4 linked regions of the Saccharomyces cerevisiae S288C genome follow. The protein of the gene in region 4 binds, or shares a complex with, the protein of the main gene of each other region. Each region holds a gene or a part of one and is shown on either strand. Other genes may lie near its edges. A codon is read from its position in the direction of its gene.

Region 1 (5,819 bases), on a different chromosome or scaffold from region 4:
ATCTAGATAGTGACTTATTTAGTGAGGTCGAATAAATTGTTCTCCGGTACCAAGAAAATTTTAGTTAAGCCTGGCTATCCACCAACGCACGTATACTTCTTCACTTTAGATAAATTGCATACTTGATACATATAAACTCTTTGTCTTTTAAATCATAGCCCAAAGGAAACGTAGATCTCAGAAGGCATGTGAAAAAAAATTCGATCTTACCTTTTTTACGCCATTTTAAGCTACTGTTTCGATACATGAGCGTGGCTGGTACATTGAAGGTGGGCAATCGTCCACTTATCTAAAGACAGCTTATCAGCATGAAATCCAAAACGTGGATTTTCAGGGATGTCTTATCTAGTCACCGAACCAAAGCGTTTGATAGTTTACTTTGTAGGAGACTCCCTGTATCAAAGGCAACGAAGCATCTTCAACTGGGAGAACATTTCCTGTTCTTCCCACCATCATTCGAAAAATTGGATAGAGATGGTTATTTTAACTATCAAAATCCTGCAAGTTTGCTAGGAAACCCTGATTTACGCTACCGTAGAAGGATTTGGGGACAAGGAGAGCTTGTTCAGTATTTACCAGTCACCTTAGACCAGGAGTATACATGCCACGAATCAATCAAATACGTAAAAAAAATACGAGATGAACATGTTGTCTGTATTGAAAGAACCCTTTTACAAGAAAGGCCCGAAAATGTGTCGAGTCCAATGGACATTTGCTTATTCGAGAGAAGGGTATTAATGTACACCAATTCACCCGCAAACAAGACTGCAGTCAAGATGCCCGTAGGAGAGGAGAACTATAAGATCTTAAAAAATTTTACTGTTACTGATATGGATATTGTAGCTTATGGTCAGATGTCTTTGAATCCGCACCGAATTCATTGGGACAAAGAGTACAGTCGCTATGTTGAAGGCTACGACGATATTATCATGCAAGGACCCTTCTCGGTCCAATTACTACAGAAATGCATCCAACCTTTTCTCGAACAACCAATCAGACAGTTGCGATACCGCAATTTGAATTATATATATCCAAACACTACTTTGAGCATATGTCAGTCTTTAAGCTCTTCGAGCGGAATGTACACATTTCAAATTAGGGACCTCCAGAAAGCCAACTTAGTCTACATGAAAGCTGATGTTTTCTGTTGACTACCAGTAATTGTCTCTCTGCAGATAATCACTACCTGTGTGTTTCTTGTCTCTTGAAATAATACTAGTAGCTGCTGAACAGTGGAAGGTCACGAACGAGATTACCATAATATCTCGCCATCACCAGGTTGACGGTAAACGCATTACGGGAAGAACTGAAAAAAAGGTGGGAAAAAAAAATAAAAAGTAAAGTGAAAAATTAAATGTAATGTATATTTCCATTTTGACGCAAAGTACTTCCCTCTATCAGTTTTGTATCTAACTGCAGAGTAAAGTCGTGTTTTGCTTAGTTAACTTATATACAAGTCAAAGCAAAAAAGATGTCCGATATCAACGAAAAACTCCCAGAGTTACTACAAGACGCTGTCTTGAAAGCATCTGTTCCTATTCCAGATGACTTCGTTAAGGTTCAAGGTATTGATTACTCAAAGCCTGAAGCCACTAATATGAGAGCAACTGATTTAATTGAAGCTATGAAGACCATGGGTTTCCAAGCTAGTTCTGTTGGTACTGCCTGTGAGATTATTGATAGTATGAGATCATGGAGAGGTAAGCATATTGACGAATTGGATGACCATGAAAAGAAAGGTTGCTTCGATGAGGAAGGGTACCAAAAGACTACTATCTTCATGGGTTATACTTCTAACTTGATCAGTTCCGGTGTACGTGAAACTTTACGTTATTTGGTGCAACACAAAATGGTTGATGCTGTCGTTACTTCTGCTGGTGGTGTGGAAGAAGATTTGATCAAATGTCTTGCTCCAACTTACTTGGGTGAATTTGCTTTGAAAGGTAAATCTTTGCGTGACCAAGGTATGAATCGTATTGGTAACTTGCTTGTTCCAAATGATAACTACTGTAAGTTTGAAGAATGGATTGTCCCAATTTTGGATAAGATGTTGGAAGAACAAGATGAATACGTAAAGAAACATGGCGCTGACTGTTTAGAGGCTAACCAAGACGTGGATTCACCAATCTGGACCCCATCTAAGATGATAGATCGTTTTGGTAAGGAAATCAACGACGAATCCTCCGTATTGTACTGGGCCCACAAGAATAAAATTCCAATCTTTTGTCCATCTTTGACTGATGGTTCAATCGGTGACATGTTGTTTTTCCATACTTTTAAAGCATCTCCAAAACAACTAAGAGTTGACATTGTAGGAGATATCCGCAAAATCAATTCAATGTCCATGGCCGCTTACAGAGCCGGTATGATCATCTTGGGTGGTGGTTTGATCAAGCACCACATTGCCAATGCTTGTTTGATGAGAAATGGTGCTGATTATGCCGTTTACATTAACACTGGTCAAGAATACGATGGTTCTGATGCAGGTGCAAGACCTGACGAAGCTGTGTCTTGGGGTAAGATCAAGGCTGAAGCCAAATCCGTCAAACTTTTTGCTGATGTCACCACTGTTCTTCCATTGATTGTTGCTGCTACCTTTGCCAGTGGTAAACCAATCAAAAAAGTTAAGAATTGATGAGAGAATTTTGAGATGAAAAAAAAAAAAATGAATCTGTACTATTTCTTTTTTTAGTGCAAAAGTTTTGTTTTAATATAGAGATAAATAAAAAAATGAACATATTACTATAATATCAACAAAATATGATGTAATGTCTGCAATAAAGATGAGTCAATTGCATTTCTATACGTACTAATCGTGTGTACATAGCCATGACATTATGTAAGTTTATACACATAAATTGCGTTGGAGTCTGCTGTGTAGTTTATAAATGTGTAAACAGCGGCTTTTGTATTCCTATTAGTTGCCGTTACCTCTCATTTTTTCGGCGGTAAGAATGTCACTGCCTATGGATTCCATTACATTTTTCTCAATCAGTTCACCTACGTTTGAATAAACCATACTAGCTTCGTAAGCACTTACTATACGTTGTTGAGTAATGCCTATTTCACAGAACGCTAACGCTTTGATCACGTTCGCATACCGGCAAATTGCTTGTCGTATGTTGTTCGATATGGAAGGATCGTTTTCATCCGAATATATTTGCCATGAAGACTCTTCTTCCAGTCTTGTTATGGAGGGATTTAATGATACCGCACCAGTGGGTCCAGTTGATTTAATTGAGGAACTGTTATTTGCAGACGGCGTATCCCTCGCTAAGTCCATCTGAGATGTTTTCCTTAACCATATGTAACCATTGACTCCGAGAACTACGGTTATGTTGCCGGGCAAATTATGAGTATGGTTCTTGGCTCTCACTATTAATGAACTCGGGACTTGGCAAAACATCCCGTTTCTTAACTTCCCGTACTTTAGAGACCTTGTATGTAAAGAGGCACTACCATCTTGAAATAATGATTGAACTTCTGCATTCAGGAGGTCACCTTCCTTAAGGAAGCTTCTCATTTGTAGTTCATCACTTTCAGATTTTCTTCTTAGAATACCACCCGGTAAATTCACAGAGCCCAACATAAGTACTGCATGTTGCTTACCGCCAATGTCTACTTTCCATCTCTTGTTACCCACTTCAGCAATTCTCCCTACGACGTGATCACCAGTTTCTGGGGCATAACGACCTTTCAATGGAATTACCGATAGCAGCCTATTGACACGGGATACAGTACCAGCAACAGAGGAATACGTCATATTATCAAGAAAATACGTACCGTGACCTCTCATCCAGATAGGGTCATCAGTGACCAGCTCACCTGGCGTCACAATTTGAGAATCAGACTCACTTTTAGAAGCTGAGTTAACATCGTGCATGTAGATATCTTCTTCATCATTTTCATCATCTGATATCCCTGTGTTGTTATAGGACAGGTTAGATGAATTTTGGAAGGCACCGTTCCGCTTGGTAATTGTGATAACTTCGGACATATCTGTTTACGCTTGTGTGACTACGCAAAGATTTAGAATGCAAGCAGTACTTAAGGAAGGATATTTTTCTTCTACTTTTGTTTTAGTTTTCTTAATTTTTTTTTTTTTTTCACCTCATCGCTCAATCCATACTGAGGAAGAAAAAGAAAAAAAAAGATTCACTGAGGATATTTGAACAAACCAGTTTAAACCATAAGTAAAGGTAAGGATATTTTTCATTGCATGAAAATCGCACTGCCAGTATTCCAAAAATTTAATAGATTGATCAGTTCGTGCAAGATGTCAGGAGTGTTCCCATACAACCCACCCGTGAATCGCCAAATGCGAGAATTGGATAGGTCATTTTTCATCACCAAGATACCAATGTGTGCAGTCAAGTTCCCCGAACCCAAAAATATCAGTGTGTTTTCTAAAAACTTCAAAAATTGCATCTTGAGGGTGCCCCGTATCCCGCACGTTGTTAAGTTAAACTCATCCAAGCCAAAGGACGAACTGACAAGTGTACAGAACAAGAAACTAAAGACTGCAGATGGCAATAATACCCCAGTCACGAAAGGTGTGCTGCTACACGAATCCATCCACAGCGTGGAGGATGCGTATGGAAAATTGCCTGAGGACGCCTTGGCGTTTCTTAAGGAAAACAGTGCGGAAATTGTACCACACGAATACGTGCTCGATTATGATTTCTGGAAAGCTGAGGAGATTCTTCGAGCCGTGCTGCCCGAGCAATTCCTGGAAGAGGTTCCAACGGGTTTTACAATCACAGGCCACATTGCCCACTTGAACTTGCGCACCGAGTTCAAACCATTCGACTCGCTCATCGGACAAGTCATCCTTGACAAGAACAACAAAATCGAATGTGTCGTGGACAAAGTCAGCTCCATTGCCACACAGTTCAGGACTTTTCCTATGAAAGTCATTGCTGGGAAAAGCGATAGTCTAGTGGTAGAGCAGAAGGAATCCAACTGCACTTTCAAATTCGACTTTAGCAAGGTGTACTGGAACTCCCGATTGCACACAGAGCATGAAAGACTCGTCAAACAGTACTTCCAGCCTGGCCAAGTAGTCTGTGATGTTTTCGCCGGCGTGGGGCCCTTTGCTGTACCTGCGGGCAAGAAGGATGTCATCGTTTTGGCTAACGACTTGAATCCTGAGAGTTACAAATACTTGAAGGAGAACATCGCATTGAACAAAGTGGCCAAGACCGTCAAATCCTTCAACATGGATGGCGCTGACTTCATCCGCCAGTCGCCACAGTTATTACAACAGTGGATTCAAGATGAAGAGGGCGGCAAGATCACGATCCCTCTGCCTTTGAAGAAACGACACAGATCCCAGCAACACAATGACCAACAACCGCCACAACCACGCACCAAAGAGCTGATCATTCCGTCACATATTAGCCACTATGTCATGAATCTACCAGACAGCGCCATTTCTTTCTTAGGAAACTTCCGTGGCATCTTTGCAGCACACACTAAAGGCGCCACTGATACCATCCAAATGCCATGGGTGCACGTGCACTGTTTTGAGAAGTACCCGCCTGGCGACCAAGTCACTGAGGACGAGTTGCATGCACGCGTTCATGCCCGTATTATTGCCGCGCTCAAGGTCACTGCAGACGATCTTCCGTTGAATGCCGTTTCGTTGCATTTGGTGCGCAAAGTTGCACCCACCAAACCGATGTATTGCGCGAGTTTCCAACTTCCAGCTAACGTATGAAGCGATCTGCTCTTGCAGTTTGCCGTGGGAGGAAAAAGGCAAAAAGGCGACCATTAGAAAAAGAAACGAGATGACTAACACCTTTATCTTCGAGAAGGCG
Region 2 (6,007 bases), on a different chromosome or scaffold from region 4:
GAGACGGGCAATACATATGCTCTACTTCTTTTCCATCCAATGGTTGGTGAAACTCTCGAGCATACATTACCTTACGTGTGTTAGTGTACTATATTATATATATATATATGTATATATATAAAGGGAGGAGTTTTTAATTATAATTGTAATTTCGTATTTTTTCTGCATTATACAGTTTTTTCCGATTTTAAACGACTTTATTTAAGTGTCGTGTAAATATGTCACATTTTATTTTTGTACGTATTCACATGTCCTGGCGTGCGGCCATTGCTGAAAATCGCAAAACCCACAGAGAAATAAACATCGCGAAAAAGTCAATGAAAAATTGGAAAATATTTTTCATTTCACTATTATCCACAAGCAATTTTGTACAAAGTGAAAAGGTTGAACTAATTATCTTCGTCTAGAAGCCATGAATTCACTCGTTACTCAATATGCTGCTCCGTTGTTCGAGCGTTATCCCCAACTTCATGACTATTTACCAACTTTGGAGCGACCATTTTTTAATATTTCGTTGTGGGAACATTTCGATGATGTCGTCACTCGTGTAACTAACGGTAGATTTGTTCCAAGCGAATTCCAATTCATTGCAGGTGAATTACCATTAAGCACTTTGCCCCCTGTGCTATACGCCATCACTGCCTATTACGTTATTATTTTTGGTGGCAGGTTTTTGTTAAGTAAGTCGAAACCATTTAAATTAAATGGCCTTTTCCAATTGCATAATTTGGTTTTAACTTCACTTTCATTGACGCTTTTATTGCTTATGGTTGAACAATTAGTGCCAATTATTGTTCAGCACGGGTTATACTTCGCTATCTGTAATATTGGTGCTTGGACTCAACCGCTCGTTACATTATATTACATGAATTACATTGTCAAGTTTATTGAATTTATAGACACCTTTTTCTTGGTGCTAAAACATAAAAAATTGACATTTTTGCATACTTATCACCATGGCGCTACTGCCTTATTATGTTACACCCAATTGATGGGCACCACATCTATTTCTTGGGTCCCTATTTCATTGAACCTTGGTGTTCACGTGGTTATGTATTGGTACTATTTCTTGGCTGCCAGAGGCATCAGGGTCTGGTGGAAGGAATGGGTTACCAGATTTCAAATTATCCAATTTGTTTTGGATATCGGTTTCATATATTTTGCTGTCTACCAAAAAGCAGTTCACTTGTATTTCCCAATTTTGCCACATTGTGGTGACTGTGTGGGTTCAACAACTGCCACCTTTGCAGGTTGTGCCATTATTTCTTCATATTTGGTACTATTTATTTCATTTTACATTAACGTTTATAAACGTAAAGGCACCAAAACCAGTAGAGTGGTAAAGCGTGCCCACGGCGGTGTTGCCGCAAAGGTTAATGAGTATGTTAACGTTGACTTGAAAAACGTTCCTACTCCATCTCCATCACCAAAACCTCAACACAGAAGAAAAAGGTAAGTGTAAAATCTTTGAAAGAATTTAAGTATTCAACTTTCGTATATTCGTTTTTTCTTAGTGGATCTATTGTTACTATTATCACTATTATTATATTGTAAAAGACCGGATGGTTTTGTTATATATTACATACACATGTTATCGTTGAAAAAAGTTTTCCGTTTCCTTTCGACAGTCATCAGATAATTTTATCCGAGTCTTTTATATGTTAAATCTTGTTGACAAATCGTCCGCTCTAACCCTAGATAACAACAATGATCTTTTTATCATTTCTGGCGTTATTTTAGCGCCTCCTCCCACTAATGTTAATTGCTTATAGTTACCTGAAGGAGCAGCGAGGATGGAGATCGTACTGTGTATACTTGTTTCTTCCGCTTCAGTATCTAGGTCTGCTATTAGCACAGTGTTCAATTTATCCATATCAATGTCCACTTCCTCTTCTTCAGAGTTATCAGAGTTTTGTAATTGGCATTCGGGGTCTAACTCCACTATCCCATAATTTGAAGCAAATGCAATATTCTTTGCGTTTATCATTAACGGTACTGACTTAGTTTGGTCGCAAATAATTTCATACGTTTCTCTTATGGTGGCACTTCTTCCTCTTGTTCTTATAGTCATTCTTAAATCGGACGCACGCTCATCTATAAATGCTCTAGGTAACTTTACGCTCTGTAAAGCGTACATCAAAGAATTCCAACACAAATCGAAGACTGGACCAGTGCGACTCAAGACTACAATTTTCGCATACAAAACGTATGACCATTTTCTTTTCATTTTCAGGTTTGTTTCATTCAGCGTATCATCTTCTAATTCATCGGGATACAAGACGGAAAACGTACCGTCTTCATTCGCACTACGAACACCAGCTTTTACCTTCAAGGCTTTTTTAGGCAATATCCTAGAGTGCAATATGGAATCGTGTAGTTTTTGTGATATAGTCATTTCTTCATCGGTGCAAGCGCCCACTCTACCTCTTTCAACTTCCACCACCGGATAGACAGAAGCATAATTTGCAATTATGTCCTCCTCTTTGGTCACTTCGAACAATTCTTCCTCACCGAAATCATCCAAATCTTTAATCGCGGCGCTAGTTTCTTCTATTATTCCACCCGTAATAGAAGTTATGACTATGGTTTTCCCACTTTTCAAAACATTTGAGCCTAAAATGTTGTTTTTAGTGTCTATATTACCAGCATCCGCATAACGCGATAAAGTATTATTTTCTATAGCAACATCTCTAAATTCTTCATATTTTCTTAGACATGGCCTGATTCCTAGGGATAAGTGTCTTTGTAAAGACAATTCTGGAGATATTCTCGCAAGAACTTCAGGTGGAAAAGTAATTGGGTGTATCTCAATAGTTTCTAACGTGGTACTTTCAGCCATTTCCAATATTAGATGCCTGTGAAACTACTGTCAAACTTATTTGTGTAACAATACTCATCGTCTAATTTGTCCATTATTGTTATATACTCTGTCATAAAAAAAGAAAGAAAAATCTTATACTTTCGTCGACTGTGATTTGAAAATCTCTCCAGATCAAACGGGAATAAAAGGGTTTATATCCGAAGGTGGCCAGAACAATCATGAAGCAAATAGGATAAAAATAGCCAATAAGATGTTTGTTGTCTTTCATCCCAAAGTTCCAACAGCATATTTCAAAGATGGGTATTACAGTAATAGGTTCTCTAAACTATGATTTGGACACATTTACGGATAGATTACCTAACGCTGGAGAAACTTTCAGGGCTAACCACTTCGAAACACATGCTGGTGGTAAGGGATTGAACCAAGCTGCGGCCATTGGTAAATTAAAAAACCCCAGCAGCAGATATAGTGTTCGAATGATTGGTAATGTTGGAAATGATACATTTGGTAAACAATTGAAGGACACTTTATCCGATTGCGGAGTCGATATCACTCACGTCGGTACTTACGAAGGCATTAATACGGGTACCGCTACCATACTAATTGAAGAGAAAGCTGGTGGCCAAAATAGGATATTGATTGTAGAAGGTGCTAACAGCAAGACTATTTATGACCCGAAACAGTTGTGTGAAATTTTTCCAGAGGGCAAGGAGGAAGAAGAGTATGTTGTTTTTCAACACGAAATTCCTGATCCTCTTTCCATTATTAAATGGATACATGCGAACAGGCCGAATTTTCAGATCGTATATAACCCCTCACCTTTCAAGGCCATGCCTAAGAAAGATTGGGAGTTGGTAGACCTTTTGGTCGTTAATGAAATTGAGGGTCTTCAAATCGTGGAAAGTGTATTTGATAATGAACTTGTTGAAGAAATAAGGGAGAAGATAAAGGACGACTTTTTAGGAGAATATCGTAAAATTTGTGAGCTTTTGTATGAAAAACTCATGAATCGAAAGAAAAGAGGAATTGTGGTTATGACTTTGGGTTCGAGAGGGGTGCTTTTCTGTTCGCACGAAAGCCCTGAAGTACAATTCCTTCCGGCTATTCAAAATGTTTCGGTTGTTGATACTACAGGAGCTGGAGATACTTTCCTGGGCGGTTTGGTTACTCAATTGTATCAAGGAGAGACCTTGTCTACGGCTATAAAGTTCTCTACATTAGCTAGTTCATTGACCATTCAAAGAAAAGGTGCTGCTGAAAGCATGCCACTGTATAAAGATGTTCAGAAAGATGCATAAAATCTACTGCAATTTTTTACTTTTAGTTTGTTAAATTTTAGTTTTCGTCATATATATAAAGTTTAAAAAGGTACAAAGAATGCAGTAATAAGAAATGTAATTACATGAGGGCAGTTTAAGTGCTACCTTTTAAGACGGAAGAACTAATACCATAACCGAGAGTAATTACGCAGACAAACGCTAACAACGAAGCAGGAACACCTCTGGAGATAAAAGCGCCTACAGTTAGCCATCTATTACCCTTTTTATCGGTCATAGAAATAGCAGTAACGTTTGGAAATCCAGATGAAGCCAACCCCATACCGCATGAGGCTAACAAGGCGCAACCGAACACAAGAATTGGAGCTGCCTTTGGATCGGATAATTTGTCACCAACTTCTTGCACCAAGGGAATAATGATGATTGCTGACACAGTATGTGAGACAAAAGTGCCCACAACTAACATTAAAATACCGAAAATACATAAGATAGCAAAAACACCATCGTTCTGAATTTTCTTTTGTAATGCTCTTGCAATAGTTACCAACAAGCCTGAAGATGAAACTGCCTTACCAAGGGCTATACCACCCATAGCAAGAACAACAATTGACCAAGGGAATGTGTTGAAATCCTTTGTTGATAGTAGACCTGTACCAAAAAACAGGACTATCGGTATTACTGCAATTTCACCGGACGATCCAAAAGCACTTTCTATTTGTGACTCTACACACCATAGAAGAATAGTAGCAATAGTTACAATGATGATAAAATATTGCTTTATAGTAAATCTGGTCCTTATTGGTTTAAATTTTTCCAGTTTAGTTTTGCCTATTTTAAAGGTGAGTATCATCAAGGCCCAGGAGCACAGCATCGATAGAATACCTGTAGGCAGAGCGACAGCAAAAAATTGCCCCCAGCCGATTCCATAAGGTTTTAAGTACTGCATGGAGATGATATTCTGTGGCGAAGAAATAGGTGAAGCCATACCACCAATATCTGCCGAAAGTGCAACACCCATGACTAATGCCTTAGCAAACGGTGAAGTGTAGTCCAGCGGATCTAGTAAGGGTGTTAATAGAGAATATGTCAATACTGGGGAGGCAACGTTGGAAATCCACATCGAAAGAAAGAATACAACACTCATTGCCATTAAAAGGACATTTCTTGGCTTGGTACCTGCAAGGGCCAATAACCACGATGCCAAAACTTTCGCAACGTTATATTGCGACAAGGCTTCACCCAATGTGAAACCTGCTAATAAAATCATAATTGTTGACGACCACATTGTACCTAAGATTTCTGTAGAGGCAGCTGCTGCTCCCATTACCTTACCGTCATCGTCTTTTAGTACCCTAAAAAGGACAGTTAGAAGGGGAACCAATAAACCTGTGATGTGTAATGGAATGGCTTCACTAGCCCATAAGAAAGCACAGCATTCTACCAATGCCATACACCGGTGTTCGACAGGGTCATTGAAAGTTTTAACACCCAACAAAACACCTGTGACAATGATAATGAAGCCTATTTTCATTGCTCTTTTCCCAAAAAATAGCTTAGGAACTGCCAAATTTTCAATTTTAGTAAACTTCAAATTAATTGGCTTAGGCAATGGATACTTGAAATATTCAATTTGAAGCTTTTCTTGCATAAGTTTCTCAGCTTCATCTTCAATAGTTATTATATCGTTATTTTGCGAAGAGAGGCCCAACATGTCTTTCCATGTGTTGCTTCTTTCCCAAACAATGTGGTCGTGCAGGTACGACTTTAACTCTTGCTTGCATGAATCTACGTTCCCAGGCTGACCCATGAGAACAGCATAAAATTCAATAAGTTGTGCAATTTTACTGTTTAAACTGCTTAAAGTTTCATGCTGGAAGATGTAGGTGTCTTTGAAAAATTCTTCACTTTC
Region 3 (3,765 bases), on a different chromosome or scaffold from region 4:
ATGTCAGTCAATTAACAAAGTATACAATAGGCCCATATCATTTTAGATTGTACCTGAAGTGAGAACTAGGTAATATACGACGATGGATAGTGTAATTCAAAAAAGAATTTTTGTCGGAAATATTTTCCATAATGCAGATGATTGTTATTCAGAACTACTAGATCGATTTGGAAAATTTGGTGATTGCCAAGATTTTCAGTTTGAAAAACACAACCACTTTGCATTTATCGATATAAGGTTTAATGATGAGGCAGATTTTAACAAGCTAAGAAAGAGCTTTAATAATGTTAAGTTTAAAGGGAACATTTTGAAGGTTGATGAAGCAAAGCCGAATTGGGAAAGCACCTGGGCGGTACAACATGCAAAGGACCTTAAAGAAGATATTATACTAAATGCTAAAATGAAAAAAAAGAATTGGCAACATTATAAGAAAATGGAAAATGTAGCGAAAAGTTGGAAAGATCATAAGGAAGTTATTGCTGGCAGAATGAGGGAGGCGCCGAGAAAAAGGAGTCAATTGAGGAACATTACATTCAGGATCAATGTCAATGGTTCATTGAAAGTTTACAAATGCTATAAGACTAAATTATGGGGTTATGAAAGGAACAAAGAATTGAATGACCTTGTGTACAAGTTTACAAATAATTTCTGGAAAAACGGATACAACCACATTGTCGATAGATTGGATTACAGTCGTGCTGTTAAAACTGTTCGATTCAAAAATGGGCTGAAACAGTTAACAGTGTCAAAAGATGAAAACGTTTGCAGTGGAGAGATGGACAGCGATGAGAATATGTCAGAAGAGGAGAAGGAGAAAAATAATGTTATTCTTAATGACCTATTAAAGGACTTTGACTTCGATAAGCCAATGACGTTGAATGATTCGGACGAGGAACTTCTGACAGAGCAACGTAAAGGAGAGGAAGAAGAAGAAGAAGAAGAAGAAAAAGAAGTAAACGCTCCCGAATACGAGAATGTTAATAAGACGAAGGACCAGAGCACCCTACCACAAGAAAAACCAGAGGAAAGGAAAGAACAGGACGAGGGCGACGGGCAGGAGGATAATGAATTTATTCCGACTTTCACCAAGGAAATTGGTCAAGGTACAATAAGCAACACTGAGACGTTAAGAAACCTATTCAACCCCAACGAGGCAGAACCTGTATCACAATTCAAATTGATTGAAGATTCTGATAATGATATTGATCATGCGAAAGATGTTGATGTGAACCAACTGGAGGAAGAAGTAAGTAAATCATCTGACACCCTAGGTTTGACATCGGCTCCCGTACCACATGTATCTAGAGATAAAGATAACAAAAATTTCTTGTTTTTCCCTCATTTGCAATCGCCATTTTTAGTAGGACAAACACAGTTGAGTAAAGTAAGGGCTCCTGGAAGAGAAACAATGCTATCGAACTGGGATGAGGAGTTCTGGGCTAACAGAGGTAATTGGACCCGTGATATGAGGCGCAAAATGAAAGATGCATTGAAGCACCGTAAGAGGAAACAATCAAAGAGCGGGCTTCTTCTATAGTGAGTATATATACATATATAGTATAGATTTCTCTGCGCTTATTCAAAAAGCATTTTTACCGAACTTAACAGCCATTTCCACTGCTGCAGCACCCCAATCTTCACCATGGTTGTGCATGGAGTGCGCTTCATCGATGCCAGCTCTGGCCAGGGCTTGTTCTTCAGTCATGCAAGTTAAGAGGCCAAAAATGACGGGCATGTCGACTTTTTCTTGTAAGTTCATCAATGCGTGAGTGGTGGAATCTGAAATGTATTCAAAGTGCATTGTACTACCTTTGATAAGTACACCAATAGGAATTACAACATCTAGCGGCTTTCCCAACTTCGCTTGTCTGTCAACAAACCTTTTTGTCCCCCAAGGTAATTCATAGGATCCAGGAACAGTTTCAATTATTATGTTATTTTCCTCGACACCAAGGGAAGCCATTCTTTCAATAGCACCTTTCACAAGAGCGTCAATAATGACACGGTTCCAACGGGCATGAATGATACCGACCCTGATTTTGGAACCGTCATAAACTTGATCTGGTTTGCCTAATCCTTTAACTGCCATACTGCGTTATACTGCGTTATACTGCGTTATACTGCGTTATACTGTTCCTTTTCATGCTTTTGAACCCACTCTCTGGGGCAATATTTCATTGTTCTCTTTTATATGGCTACTTTTCTCTTATTAACGGGGACCTCCGAAAATATCTCCGCTCCCAGAATATGTCATAGAGCCTTAAGAATTGACCTACGGGAACCTCCGAAAACCTCCCAGAGTTTTAATTATACGTCATAGAACCCCAGACCTCTTCGATGAAGTTTCGTGGAAACTAGTTCCATCCACCTCACTTAAAGTTACCTTAATGAAAGCCATCATTGTTTACTAGTAAGGGTAGTGGTGTGACCCGGACCTGATCGGCTGAAATTTTTTGGTTTAGAGAAGCATATTAAACCAACAGCACAAACGGATGCTTCAGCAGCTCATCTCCAGCATTTCGACTAACCAAGAGCATACAAGATGTCTACGTTCATATTCCCTGGTGATAGCTTTCCTGTAGACCCTACTACACCTGTTAAACTGGGCCCTGGCATATATTGTGACCCCAATACTCAAGAAATACGACCTGTTAATACAGGTGTTTTGCATGTTTCCGCTAAGGGTAAGAGTGGTGTTCAGACCGCATATATAGACTATTCTAGTAAGAGATACATTCCATCTGTAAACGATTTTGTAATCGGTGTCATTATAGGGACATTTTCAGATAGCTATAAGGTTTCGTTGCAAAATTTCTCCTCCAGTGTTTCACTATCGTATATGGCTTTTCCCAATGCTTCAAAGAAAAACAGGCCAACTTTGCAAGTGGGAGATCTAGTGTATGCGAGAGTTTGTACCGCAGAAAAGGAACTAGAAGCCGAAATAGAATGTTTTGACTCAACTACAGGACGCGATGCTGGTTTCGGGATATTGGAAGATGGTATGATCATTGACGTGAATTTGAATTTCGCACGCCAGTTGCTTTTCAATAATGACTTCCCGTTATTAAAAGTGTTGGCTGCACATACCAAGTTTGAAGTCGCCATTGGTCTCAATGGGAAGATCTGGGTTAAGTGCGAGGAATTATCTAACACTTTAGCTTGTTATAGAACCATAATGGAGTGTTGTCAAAAAAACGACACGGCAGCGTTCAAGGATATAGCAAAAAGACAGTTTAAAGAAATACTTACGGTCAAGGAGGAGTAGACTACCATGTATAATTAAAATATATAAACACATAGATATCATCAATATTTCACGTCCTTTTTTAATGTCCTTTGAAAAAGCGAAGGAAAAAAAGTTTCATCTCATCTCATCTCATCACATCTAACATATGGCCATAAAATTTCGACAACTATAGTGCACATATCTAATACGATGAAGAATCTGACCACTATAAAGCAAACGAACAAGAATGTCAAACAAGAAAGACGTAAAAAGTACGCTGATTTGGCGATTCAAGGCACAAATAACTCCTCAATTGCTTCTAAAAGATCGGTAGAGTTATTGTATTTGCCAAAACTGAGTTCGGCTAATAATTTCCAAATGGATAAGAATAATAAACTGTTGGAATATTTTAAATTCTTTGTTCCTAAGAAAATTAAAAGATCTCCCTGTATTAACAGAGGTTATTGGTTGAGGTTATTTGCCATCAGGTCAAGATTGAACTCCATCATTGAACAAACGCCACAGGATAAAAAGATAGT
Region 4 (5,271 bases):
ACTTTATTAATATCGAAGGCGAAGAACACGATAGAATTGATGGTGACTATTGGGTTGCTGGTAGGAGCATGGAGGAAGCTGAAAAGAAGGCTGCTGCCAAATACCCTAATTCCAAATTTACTCTGGAACAAGATGAAGATGTTTTAGACACCTGGTTCTCGTCCGGTTTGTGGCCTTTCTCCACTTTGGGTTGGCCAGAGAAGACTAAAGACATGGAAACTTTTTACCCCTTTTCTATGTTGGAAACTGGTTGGGATATTCTTTTCTTCTGGGTTACTAGAATGATTCTATTGGGCTTAAAATTGACCGGTTCAGTTCCATTCAAGGAAGTTTTCTGCCACTCTTTAGTCCGTGACGCTCAAGGTCGTAAGATGTCTAAATCTTTAGGTAATGTTATTGACCCACTAGACGTTATTACTGGTATTAAGTTGGATGATTTGCATGCAAAATTATTACAAGGTAACTTAGATCCAAGAGAAGTTGAAAAAGCTAAGATCGGTCAAAAGGAATCCTACCCTAACGGTATTCCTCAATGTGGTACCGATGCTATGAGGTTTGCATTATGTGCTTATACCACTGGTGGTCGTGATATTAACTTAGATATCTTACGTGTCGAAGGTTACAGAAAGTTCTGTAACAAAATCTACCAAGCTACCAAGTTTGCATTGATGAGACTCGGTGACGATTATCAACCACCTGCCACTGAAGGTCTATCAGGTAACGAATCCTTGGTTGAAAAATGGATCTTGCACAAGCTGACTGAAACCTCGAAAATTGTCAATGAAGCTCTAGATAAACGTGACTTCTTGACGTCCACTAGCAGTATTTACGAATTCTGGTATTTGATTTGTGATGTTTACATCGAGAACTCTAAATACTTGATTCAAGAAGGCTCTGCTATTGAAAAGAAGTCCGCAAAGGATACATTGTATATCTTGCTGGACAACGCTTTGAAATTAATCCATCCATTCATGCCATTCATTTCTGAAGAAATGTGGCAAAGACTTCCAAAGCGTTCCACTGAGAAGGCTGCCTCAATTGTAAAAGCTTCTTATCCAGTTTACGTATCTGAGTACGATGATGTCAAATCGGCCAATGCTTACGACTTGGTCTTGAACATTACCAAAGAAGCTCGTTCCTTGTTATCTGAGTACAATATTTTGAAGAATGGTAAGGTTTTCGTTGAATCTAACCACGAGGAATACTTCAAAACTGCTGAAGATCAGAAAGATTCTATTGTCTCGTTGATCAAGGCCATCGACGAAGTCACTGTTGTTCGTGATGCTTCCGAAATTCCAGAAGGTTGCGTATTGCAATCTGTTAACCCAGAAGTCAATGTACATCTTCTCGTCAAGGGACACGTTGATATTGATGCTGAAATTGCGAAAGTTCAAAAGAAACTTGAAAAGGCTAAAAAATCCAAGAACGGTATTGAACAAACCATTAACAGTAAGGATTACGAAACAAAGGCTAATACACAGGCCAAGGAAGCCAATAAAAGCAAGCTGGATAACACTGTTGCCGAAATCGAAGGTTTGGAAGCTACTATTGAAAACTTGAAGCGTTTGAAATTGTAGATTGAAGGTAGATAAAAATTAATGTAATATATATATATATATATGCTATGTATATGTAACAACGAAAATGTTAAGAATTTTAGAACATTGAATAATAACTATTTCCAAATATAAGAGGTAGTCTCCGGCATACGACATAGCATGTTGTGGTATATTATAATCTATAATGGCTATACAACTAGACGAGGTGATATATTGTCCTGTATTATTCTTCTTATATTTGTGACAAGTTCTTGACACTTTTGCTCACCCAGCTCCAGTAAACTGAACAATTGATCTTCATTAAAATCACCATTGCTGTCTAACAATAAAACGTTTTTCACGACTTTACCGCCATTGACGAACTCCAGAGCTAAAGTGTGGACAGAGAGCGAAATCTTCAATTGCTCGGCAGTGGGATCGACAATGATATCACTAGTGTCTTTGATTATTGCAATAGGGATGCTTGCGCACATACTATTTAAGGCAATTCCTGCATCAACTAAAGCCAAAAATGCCGCATTTATACAACAACTTAGCTCTCTCAGGGAGAATTCGGCTTCATCTTCACCAGATTCCAGAATTTGACAAGTTATCTGGCAGAGCTGTCTTGGGTAACAATGACGAGTGATGAGTGGGGTCAGAACTGCCCGTAATTTATCTTCGAGTACCTTCTCTCTTGTTGTGGCCACCCCTTTCGCGGGACGTACAATAATTTCTAATGCTAATTGTGTAGGCAGTTCTTGTCTTGCTTTTGGTTCAATAGGGCCTGTTACAGAACAAATAACCTTGGTGTCTTGTGATACGAATTCAGATGAACCATCTACATGATCTAATATCCCTATTTCTGCTTGGACGCTCATTTTTTTTTTTTTTTCAGCAGAATCTAATCTATTCTTGGTATTGGGCTCCTTGTTATTACCATATATGCAGAGATATTTTATGCATCTTAACTGGTTCATCTAACAAATTTTCCACTCTTTTTTCCACAATCCGATGCGCTTAAAAGGAAAAAAAAAGTAGTAAAAAGAAAAAGAGAGGTACATAATAGTCTTTATGAAGAAAAGGCGCTATTTTGTCACCTTTAACTTGGCATAGTCTGGAGCTTTATATAAACCATTCAAAGTACATAAATGTTGATATGTTCAAAGAGGAGGACTCGTTAAGAAAAGGGCAAAATGTGGCCGCGTGGAAAACTTTGTTGGCTGGCGCCGTATCCGGGCTGCTTGCCCGTAGCATAACTGCTCCCATGGATACCATTAAGATCAGATTGCAATTGACCCCTGCAAATGGGCTGAAGCCCTTCGGAAGTCAGGTCATGGAGGTGGCCAGAAGCATGATAAAGAACGAAGGCATCCGGTCCTTTTGGAAGGGTAACATACCCGGTTCTTTGCTGTACGTTACCTATGGCTCAGCGCAGTTTAGTTCATACTCCCTTTTTAATAGATATTTAACTCCATTTGGACTAGAGGCGCGCTTACATAGTCTTGTTGTCGGAGCCTTTGCTGGCATAACCAGTTCCATCGTTTCCTACCCGTTCGATGTTTTACGGACCCGACTAGTTGCCAACAACCAGATGCACTCAATGAGCATCACGAGAGAAGTGCGTGATATCTGGAAACTAGAAGGTCTCCCCGGATTTTTCAAGGGCTCCATCGCGTCAATGACAACCATAACTCTAACCGCATCTATAATGTTCGGAACATACGAAACAATCAGGATATACTGTGACGAAAACGAAAAAACGACCGCCGCGCATAAAAAATGGGAACTGGCTACTTTAAATCACAGCGCTGGTACCATTGGCGGCGTCATTGCTAAGATCATTACTTTCCCCCTCGAAACGATCCGTAGGCGAATGCAGTTCATGAATTCGAAGCATCTGGAAAAGTTCTCCCGTCATTCGTCTGTATACGGTTCTTATAAAGGGTACGGATTCGCAAGAATCGGTTTACAGATTTTGAAACAAGAAGGTGTGAGTTCGCTTTACAGAGGTATTCTGGTGGCCCTTTCCAAGACAATACCCACCACTTTTGTGAGTTTCTGGGGGTATGAAACTGCCATCCATTATTTGCGGATGTACTAAAGTTTCCAATCTTTTTTGTCACATGTACACACTCATATACATATACGAAATCATCATATCTTATATTCTTCACTGACAAAGATCGGTAGCCGCCCGGTTTTCCATTCCGATTACGGCCTGACTCAGTCGCGCCGTCTTCCTCTAATAACAAAAAATCGAAAAAAAAAGAGGAATCTCGTTGCTAGCGATCTGACGCCAACCCTTTTTCCGGTTTTTCTTAGTTGCCTGCTGCCCCGCACCGGTTTTTCTTCTTTTTTTTATCTTTTTTTCCGCTCAGTCAGCGGGGAAGGGAGAGAAGGAAACAATGAATCGGATCTTCCGATGGAACCAGCGTCAGGGACCACTACATCTGCTTGTTGTTTCAACACAACTTACATCTGCGCAAGCACACGGACTAGGAGTAACAAGAAGTAGTAAAATTGAAGAAAGCAAGGACTGCTGCAATCTCTGCACCCTTGTGGTAGCCACCCTTCTTAGATGTGGCATACTTACACTTTTTTTTTTCTTTTTTTTTTTTTTTTTTCGCCTTTTCTCATTTCTTGGCTCCTTAATAGCCAAGAAATGAGAAACGTGGGAGATGTTCAACCTCGCCTGATCCTACCAAAAAAAAAAATCGCAAAAATAAGCGGGAAAAAATGTCAGATTCTAAGTTTCAAACCTCCGGAGATGATTCATCATCACCATCACCGCCGATTTGTTGGATTGCGTGTTTACGATCCATCATTTTTCTTGTAAGCGTTTAGCTTTCTGTCATCTCTTTATCTTTTTTCCTATTTTTTTTTTTCACTAGTTTTTGCACTGAATAACACCTCCCCTTACTCATAAATGTGCTAGCTGAATCCATATTTCCTAGTCTTGCATTCCCTTTCCCTTCAAACAGCGCTGCCCTTCTTCATCTTCATTGTCGAAAATAACCATTCTTCTCCTATCTTGAAATCTAAAAATAACGCTACTACAGAAAGCTTTTTTCACAGGAACTAGGGCGAAGCGTACAAGAATAAGGAAAGACAGCGTAGTTACAAACTAAACTATCTATACTATAACGACCGAAAATTTCTGTTTTTTAACACCTCTTCTACCAAACACAACGAGAGTGCATTAGAAATAGGACAAAACTGGGCTCAAACTAATGTCTGATTACTTTAGTTCCAGACCTTCGCAAACGCTCACGCCGATGGGCAATAAGCCATCTGGCGGTGGTGGCGGCGATGACGCCTCCTCCATCCACTCGAAGAGCTCGCAGTACTTGATGGACATCTTACCTGATTCGATGACCTTGAACGAAAGTGTTTCCTCCATAGTGGCAAACAATCAGGCAAAGGAGTTTATTTTGCCTGAAACAGATGAGAGATCTCCCTACTTCATAAACGTCCCTATACCAAAGGCTCAGCCAACCTCTACTACGGAAACGAAGAAGCCCCTTGCAGGTGATGAAGCTATCGATGGGCAGTTTGTTAAGGAGTATCCCACCGACATCCTTGTAGACAGGTTTTATAAATGGAAAAAAATTCTGAAAGGGTTAGTGATTTACTTGAGGGAAGTCGCGTATGCGCAAGAACAGTTCGCACGGATCAATTACCAACTGAAAGGATCTGTGAAATTTCCATTTTTGACTGATATTGATGAAAC

Evidence for each region.
Region 1: RRP46 (region 4) and RRP4 share a complex: the UniProt entries of both Saccharomyces cerevisiae proteins name them as parts of the RNA exosome complex.
Region 2: the proteins of RRP46 (region 4) and RRP43 are in contact, whole or in part, in a crystal structure (PDB 5OKZ), measured with the Saccharomyces cerevisiae proteins. Residues at the interface, in NP_011609.2 of Saccharomyces cerevisiae: Thr61 (codon at 2,239), Arg62 (codon at 2,236), Lys64 (codon at 2,230), Val65 (codon at 2,227), Asp68 (codon at 2,218), Ala72 (codon at 2,206), Pro76 (codon at 2,194), Glu103 (codon at 2,113), Phe104 (codon at 2,110), Lys140 (codon at 2,002), Lys155 (codon at 1,957), Ile156 (codon at 1,954), Ser157 (codon at 1,951), Leu158 (codon at 1,948), Val160 (codon at 1,942), Val174 (codon at 1,900), Lys175 (codon at 1,897), Asn176 (codon at 1,894), Val177 (codon at 1,891), Leu178 (codon at 1,888), Leu179 (codon at 1,885), Leu180 (codon at 1,882), Asp181 (codon at 1,879), Ser182 (codon at 1,876), Asn183 (codon at 1,873), Gly184 (codon at 1,870), Asp185 (codon at 1,867), Phe186 (codon at 1,864), Asn187 (codon at 1,861), Glu188 (codon at 1,858); in NP_009964.2 of Saccharomyces cerevisiae: Glu121 (codon at 2,479), Asp122 (codon at 2,476), Ile123 (codon at 2,473), Ile124 (codon at 2,470), Asp146 (codon at 2,404), Met149 (codon at 2,395), Thr150 (codon at 2,392), Gln153 (codon at 2,383), Lys154 (codon at 2,380), Ser158 (codon at 2,368), Leu160 (codon at 2,362), His161 (codon at 2,359), Arg163 (codon at 2,353), Asn356 (codon at 1,774), Tyr357 (codon at 1,771), Lys358 (codon at 1,768), Gln359 (codon at 1,765), Leu360 (codon at 1,762), Thr361 (codon at 1,759), Leu362 (codon at 1,756), Gly364 (codon at 1,750), Gly365 (codon at 1,747), Gly366 (codon at 1,744), Ala367 (codon at 1,741), Lys368 (codon at 1,738), Ile369 (codon at 1,735), Pro371 (codon at 1,729), Ile374 (codon at 1,720), Lys375 (codon at 1,717), Leu378 (codon at 1,708).
Region 3: the proteins of RRP46 (region 4) and RRP40 are in contact, whole or in part, in a cryo-EM structure (PDB 5G06), measured with the Saccharomyces cerevisiae proteins. Residues at the interface, in NP_011609.2 of Saccharomyces cerevisiae: Gly8 (codon at 2,398), Leu10 (codon at 2,392), Asp11 (codon at 2,389), Val13 (codon at 2,383), Asp14 (codon at 2,380), Gly32 (codon at 2,326), Pro33 (codon at 2,323), Ile34 (codon at 2,320), Glu35 (codon at 2,317), Thr79 (codon at 2,185), His81 (codon at 2,179), Cys82 (codon at 2,176), Tyr83 (codon at 2,173), Pro84 (codon at 2,170), Arg85 (codon at 2,167), Gln86 (codon at 2,164), Val121 (codon at 2,059), Asp122 (codon at 2,056), Ala123 (codon at 2,053), Gly124 (codon at 2,050), Ala126 (codon at 2,044), Leu127 (codon at 2,041), Asn128 (codon at 2,038), Ser129 (codon at 2,035), Met130 (codon at 2,032), Phe167 (codon at 1,921), Val168 (codon at 1,918), Asn169 (codon at 1,915), Gly170 (codon at 1,912), Gly171 (codon at 1,909); in NP_014499.2 of Saccharomyces cerevisiae: Phe4 (codon at 2,552), Phe6 (codon at 2,558), Pro7 (codon at 2,561), Gly8 (codon at 2,564), Asp9 (codon at 2,567), Ser10 (codon at 2,570), Tyr26 (codon at 2,618), Arg35 (codon at 2,645), Pro36 (codon at 2,648), Val37 (codon at 2,651), Asn38 (codon at 2,654), Thr39 (codon at 2,657), Gly40 (codon at 2,660), Val41 (codon at 2,663), Asp58 (codon at 2,714), Tyr59 (codon at 2,717), Ser60 (codon at 2,720), Ser61 (codon at 2,723), Lys62 (codon at 2,726), Arg63 (codon at 2,729), Ile65 (codon at 2,735), Phe91 (codon at 2,813), Ser92 (codon at 2,816), Ser93 (codon at 2,819), Lys128 (codon at 2,924), Glu129 (codon at 2,927), Leu130 (codon at 2,930), Glu131 (codon at 2,933), Asn161 (codon at 3,023), Gln165 (codon at 3,035).

What each region holds. Positions count from the first base shown.
Region 1 is NC_001140.6:230,662-236,480, forward strand, and holds RRP4 (exosome non-catalytic core subunit RRP4), read right to left. Parts: upstream 3,998-5,819; coding exon 2,918-3,997; downstream 1-2,917. Other genes in the region: SSF1 (rRNA-binding ribosome biosynthesis protein), read left to right, coding at 1-35; hydroxyacyl-thioester dehydratase HTD2, read left to right, coding at 309-1,151; DYS1 (deoxyhypusine synthase), read left to right, coding at 1,472-2,635; TRM5 (tRNA (guanine) methyltransferase), read left to right, coding at 4,220-5,719. UniProt on the Saccharomyces cerevisiae protein: Non-catalytic component of the RNA exosome complex which has 3'->5' exoribonuclease activity and participates in a multitude of cellular RNA processing and degradation events.
Region 2 is NC_001135.5:190,180-196,186, forward strand, and holds RRP43 (exosome non-catalytic core subunit RRP43), read right to left. Parts: upstream 2,840-6,007; coding exon 1,655-2,839; downstream 1-1,654. Other genes in the region: fatty acid elongase ELO2, read left to right, coding at 413-1,456; RBK1 (putative ribokinase), read left to right, coding at 3,118-4,119; PHO87 (SPX domain-containing inorganic phosphate transporter), read right to left, coding at 4,235-6,007.
Region 3 is NC_001147.6:53,016-56,780, forward strand, and holds RRP40 (exosome non-catalytic core subunit RRP40), read left to right. Parts: upstream 1-2,542; coding exon 2,543-3,265; downstream 3,266-3,765. Other genes in the region: NOP8 (Nop8p), read left to right, coding at 83-1,537; lumazine synthase RIB4, read right to left, coding at 1,580-2,089; tRNA methyltransferase PPM2, read left to right, coding at 3,437-3,765. UniProt on the Saccharomyces cerevisiae protein: Non-catalytic component of the RNA exosome complex which has 3'->5' exoribonuclease activity and participates in a multitude of cellular RNA processing and degradation events.
Region 4 is NC_001139.9:673,924-679,194, forward strand, and holds RRP46 (exosome non-catalytic core subunit RRP46), read right to left. Parts: upstream 2,420-5,271; coding exon 1,748-2,419; downstream 1-1,747. Other genes in the region: VAS1 (valine--tRNA ligase), read left to right, coding at 1-1,577; thiamine transporter TPC1, read left to right, coding at 2,698-3,642; ASK10 (Ask10p), read left to right, coding at 4,772-5,271. UniProt on the Saccharomyces cerevisiae protein: Non-catalytic component of the RNA exosome complex which has 3'->5' exoribonuclease activity and participates in a multitude of cellular RNA processing and degradation events.